Linked DNA regions of Kluyveromyces lactis. The protein of the gene in region 1 purifies or fractionates together with the protein of each later gene. This does not show direct contact. Links are inferred from orthologs where the notes say so. Each region holds a gene or a part of one and is shown on either strand. Other genes may lie near its edges.

What was found. The genes of interacting proteins can lie anywhere in the genome.
Region 2: the proteins of RBP95 (region 1) and NHP2 purify together in Saccharomyces cerevisiae (affinity purification with mass spectrometry; 3 studies listed by BioGRID, with this or other methods). This does not show direct contact. The link is inferred for Kluyveromyces lactis from reciprocal best matches to the Saccharomyces cerevisiae genes RBP95 and NHP2.

The regions. Positions count from the first base shown.
Region 1 is NC_006037.1:956,769-959,665, reverse strand, and holds RBP95 (RNA-binding ribosome assembly factor RBP95), read right to left. Parts: upstream 1,428-2,897; coding exon 579-1,427; downstream 1-578. Other genes in the region: KLLA0_A11088g (uncharacterized protein), read right to left, coding at 1-324; CTO1 (Cto1p), read left to right, coding at 2,173-2,874; POL4 (DNA-directed DNA polymerase IV), read left to right, coding at 2,868-2,897.
Region 2 is NC_006039.1:1,335,963-1,338,411, reverse strand, and holds NHP2 (snoRNA-binding protein NHP2), read left to right. Parts: upstream 1-1,385; coding exon 1,386-1,835; downstream 1,836-2,449. Other genes in the region: active spliceosome conformation promoter CWC2, read right to left, coding at 1-428; SNU56 (Snu56p), read left to right, coding at 2,324-2,449. UniProt on the Saccharomyces cerevisiae protein: Non-catalytic component of the H/ACA small nucleolar ribonucleoprotein (H/ACA snoRNP), which catalyzes pseudouridylation of rRNA and is required for ribosome biogenesis.

The DNA of each region.
Region 1 (2,897 bases):
AAGCAAAGAATCGAGCCCCATCGAATCTGCAAGTTCGTTTGGCCAATCAGCACCAAATTTGTTGTATCGCTCCGTTTGACAGTATTGTTTCAAAGATTCGAACATTTCACTTCGTTCAATGTCAGTTGTGAAGAGACGTATCGGCATTACTTTGAGCAGCGGAAAAACATGTTTTCGATCCAATATATCTGTTTCAGTCAGTTTTGACTCCTCGATTGATTCCCACGGGAGATCATCGTACCGTGACGGGAGTTTAAAGGGCTTTCGCAGAAGATCAACCACAAAAGATCCTTCTTCATTTACAGTCTCGATATTTCGATTCATTACAATGTATACTATCCCTGTAATTTGATTGCATGAATACTGTAAGGAATTGCAATGGCCCGGCTTGGTTCCAGGTCAATGAAAGTACTGCATTCGCTCGTCGTGATCATTGCTATTGTCATGATGCTTCTAAGATGTATCCATCCATCACTCAACCTTTTCTGATAATGGGAAAAAGGCGCCGAGCGGTAGTGATGATAATATCACGTGACCATTTCTTTTATTGAATGATAAAAAGTAGTTACACGCACTATTCAGCTATTTAGTTCATATTTAACACCCCAGGTATCGAGCATGGAACGTACTCTTTCCAGTAGCTCTTGGCTAGGTGGTAGGATCTCGTTTATTTTATTAGCTGTATCCTCTTCACTTTCGTCAGACTTTTTGGACATTTCTGTTTTGACATCTTTATCCTTGGACTCATCATCGGCGCTCTGTTTCTCTTGATCTTTGGATGCTTCTGTAGCTTCTCCCAGCACAATCTTAGCCATTTCCTCTTTCTGCTGCTCTAGATATTTATTTTGCTTCTCGATAACATCCAAACAACTTTCTTGTAGCTGAGCCTTCGAACCACCCTGTAAGTCCTGGAAATATCTCACTAATAGCGGGTTGAATGCTGATGGGATCTCATCAGTGATAACGAAATGTTTGATGAGCCAATTCTGTTTCTGTTTACTGAACTTCCATACATCTCTTACTACGTTTTTGTCAGCTAATTCCTCAGAGGGTGATATAATTGATACGTTTTCCTTTACACTAGGAAGCTCTTTCACGGCTTCCGGCAGCTCCACTTCCAACTTCAATGTATAGAAATCGATCAAATACCTCAATTGATCCTTCAACACAGTTTCCTTCTTCTTAAGTCTATCCTCTTTGGCCAATTTCTCTCTTTTCCTGTCTTTACTCTTTTTTGCAACTTTGTTGCCAGTGCTTTTACTATCCGCATTGCCACCTCTAATAATCCTTCTCTTCTCTTTCTTCGAAAGTGAACCGTTGGAAAGATGTGTAGACACAATGAGTGAGTCTAGCTCATCATCGATCTGATTCCCTTCCTCTGACTTCTTGATCTGGAACCTTTTCCAAGCAGGTACGTGTTCCGACATCTTAATATATTGTTTATTGCTGTGTTGCTATATTTCTATGATATTAACAGAGCCAGTAATAGTTTCTACAGTTCAGATATACTCTGTATACTATCTCATCTCATCTCATCTCATCTAAAGCTCTTCTTTTCACCAAATTTTCAGCTCAGTTTTTCAAAAAGAAATACTTTATTTACTATGGGAAAAAAGATTCAAATGGACTCAATGAACTTTGAACTCGTATGTACCACTTTATATTCTCATCTCGAATGATATTTTCTGACATATGATTTCGTTTTTAGTCTACCAATCATAAACTTATTGCTCGGCTGGGTCTCATCGTTTGGTTCAGACTACTGTGTTGGACTTGAGAGGATTTTCTTCTCTTGTTTTATTCAACGGTTAGTATTTCTGTCCTCGAGAATCATAATTGGGCCTGAGCATAGACTGAAATACCAAAATCAACAGTTTGAGTTGGGTCCCTACGATACTACTACGGGGACTTAATATAGAAGCTTGATTACATTCTTTTTATTATATTTAATGTGTTCTTAGAATTTCCCAATGTAGACCTCTCTCTATTCTTGTCCTTTCAATAGTTTTTTTCTCCACTAAGGAATAGCCTTTGTTTAAATCCCAAACAAAATGAAATCGTTCTTTCACATTAAATCTTGAACTCTTGAATGGAAACTCGGCAAGTATGGCAGACCAGTTCCTTCACGCTAGATAAAACATTGGCTGGTCGGAGTTGTGTTAAGAAAAAATTATGTTGAAACGGATTCTTGTACTTGATTTTGATGGCACTATCACCACTAGTGATACCACCAGTATCATTGGGCAATCTGTTTACAATTTGAAATCAGTACCTGTCGCATGGACTCATTATACCAAGATATACGAGGAATGCTATATTCCAAAACCAGAGAATTTGGCACCTGATGCTTGGAAAGTGGTTTGTGATTATGAACGTGCAAGCAGAAGGTGTGAGCTAAGTTCAATCAACGAACTAGAATTGCAGGATCATTTTAAAGATGTGGTGATCAAAGATCTCCTGCAGCTCGTTAAGGAAAAAGTAGATATCAGACCTGGATTACAGGAGCTGATGCAGCAGTATAACAAGACGTACGTGCTTTCGTTGAACTGGTCCAAGGACCTCATACACGACCTAACGGGTATTTCCAAATCGGATATCTACTGTAACGAATTAAAATCACGTGATGGGGAAGTTTACAGCGGACAATTTACAAAGCAAATATTGACCGGTTGGGACAAGTACGAGATGTTGAAAGAGATTTGCGATTTAGACAAAGTGCAAGGGGACCAGAGCATAACTTATATTGGAGATAGTTTTGGCGATTTGCCTTGTATTCTGGCAAAAGAAGTAGATGGATACATTATTGGCGATCGCTTGAAGCATTTGGATATAGATGTTCCTACTATTCAAAGGTTCGATGAGGTAAAATGTTAAACGGTCATAAGTTCCTTGTACTA
Region 2 (2,449 bases), on another chromosome or scaffold:
ATACCACCCACGTATAAGACACGGTTAGGTTTCTTGAAGGAACCTACCCCACCCATATCATCTCTATAATCAGCAAATTTCTCTCTTCCAAAACAATCTAACGCAGAGGAATGCAAAGCTAACCTCGCAAAATCATCTGGCTCTGGAATATGATGCAAGTACCGACAATTTTTGCCTAAACAGCACATTCCCTTAGCGAAATACAAACAGAAATGAATCCGACCCTCTTTATCACCTTTAGTGATACCAGAATCGTTCTCGGGATCAAGCGAGTACGGTGTGACGAACCTAGTGGACCCACTTTGCCCCTGTGACCATTTGTTGTACCATACGTTGAAAGCCAAACCCGTCTGAGGCGGTACTGATGAAGGTAGGTCAGACTCCTGTAACTGAACCCTTGCTGGTCGGTTCTTCCAATCCCCAGTCATAATATATTGATGACGATGACCTTAATATTTGGCAATTTGCCAAACCAAGTATTCTTTAATGACCTCGAACAAGCAAACAGTTTGAACCGTCCAATTTATGCAACAACAGATACCGTATTATAACGGTGAAAACTGTATCTTGTCGAGCACACATCTTCCATGTTCATCTCATCGCAGGCCAAAGTGTTTTCAATAAACTTCAAGGTTGGAACTTTTCTTTAGTGAAAACGATCATGATCAAAAACAAAATGGAAACGAAAAAAAGATAAGTCTCCCGGGGGCGAGTCGAACGCCCGATCTCCAGATTACAAATTGCTTTGTGTTTTCAAATTACAGTCTGGCGCCTTAAACCAACTTGGCTACCGAGAGAAGTTACTTGTGTGTTGTAATTTTCAATGATGCTATAACCAAACTTCAAGGTTTACTAAGACTACATTGCCTGACATTAAGAGGTATATGGAGTATTTAAACCTTTTAAAGTATTTAATTATACAAGTGAAGTGATCACAGGACAATAATGCCCTGCACCTGGAACAGCTAATTTCTCCTACAGAGTTTAATCATTGTACATATTGTTCGCCATTTAAAACTCCAAGTTTTGTATGAAATTAAAGGGACTCATCCAGAATAATGTTAGGCGATGGACATTTCTACAACTGCTATGTACCACCTCCGAAACAAGACGCTGGCACGATATTCTGAAAAGTTGTTTATGTGTCGCATGGATTAATTTATGTCGTCCCTACTGTAATTGATACTTTATTTCTTTTTCATGTTACTCGGTACTGGAAAATTTTCATTTTTTGTTAACAAAAAGAAGAGCGATGAGTATGAGAATTGAACTGTTGAATGAATCGATGAACCTATCTTGCTGATGTGATATTGATTCCTTTCTCAATCAATTGCTCGCTCTATTTGAACCAGGGGAACAGTGAAGAACTATACATAATAACAAAGATGGCCAAGGATAAGAGTGTATCAACAGAAGACAACTACGAAGCTAGACTTCCTGCCGTTCTACCATTTGCAAAACCTCTAGCATCAAAGAAACTGAACAAAAAGGTGTTAAAGACCGTCAAGAAGGCTTCCAAGGCTAAGAATGTCAAAAGAGGTGTCAAAGAGGTTGTCAAGGCTTTGAGAAAGGGTGATAAAGGGTTAGTAGTCATTGCTGGTGATATTTTCCCACAAGATGTTATTTCTCACTTGCCAGTTTTGTGTGAAGACCAATCTGTTCCATATATCTTTGTGCCCTCGAAGCAAGATCTAGGTTCTGCTGGTGCCACCAAGAGACCTACTTCTGTTGTATTCATCGTTCCAGGCTCTAACAAGAAGAAAGATGCTAAGGCTAAGGAAGAAGAATACCGTGCTGCATTCGATGAAATTGTTAAGGAAGTAAGCTCTTTGTAGAGATATGAAAACTGTCGACAGAACAACCGGAAAAGAGAAAGTTATAATCGCAAAACACCGAGTGTTTCGTTAATTGCTTCCTGGTGTTGGCTTGTTTAATTAACCCCAACTACTTCCACTTCACAACTACTATTTTTGAACTCTTCTTGCAATGCATATACTGAGACTGCAAGACTAATTTCCAATTGGCATATACCAGTTGATTCGAGCATCTACTTACACCCACCTATCTGTAAAATAAATATTAATATCTATGTACCGAAGTCATCAAATCATATAGATTACTATCGTTAAAAGCACTCTGCAATTTGTGTATTCTGTCTCGATTTGTATACCAGCGTTTTTTCTAACAGTAACAGAAACCAAATAAAAGAAAACATCATATTAAGTAACATTCGTGAAGTACTAACGGAATATGTTGCCCAAGATTAAGATAACCTTCCATCCCATTAATTAAGATCCTATATAAGGGATACAAGCACTCTATAATGTATGGAAAGAAAAGGCAGAGACCGGCCTCTGCAGACTTTCGCCATTCTCCAAATAAGAAACAACAAACAACGTTAGTGCCTAATAAATCCAAAACCGATGACTTATGGAAGGTTCTATCCAAT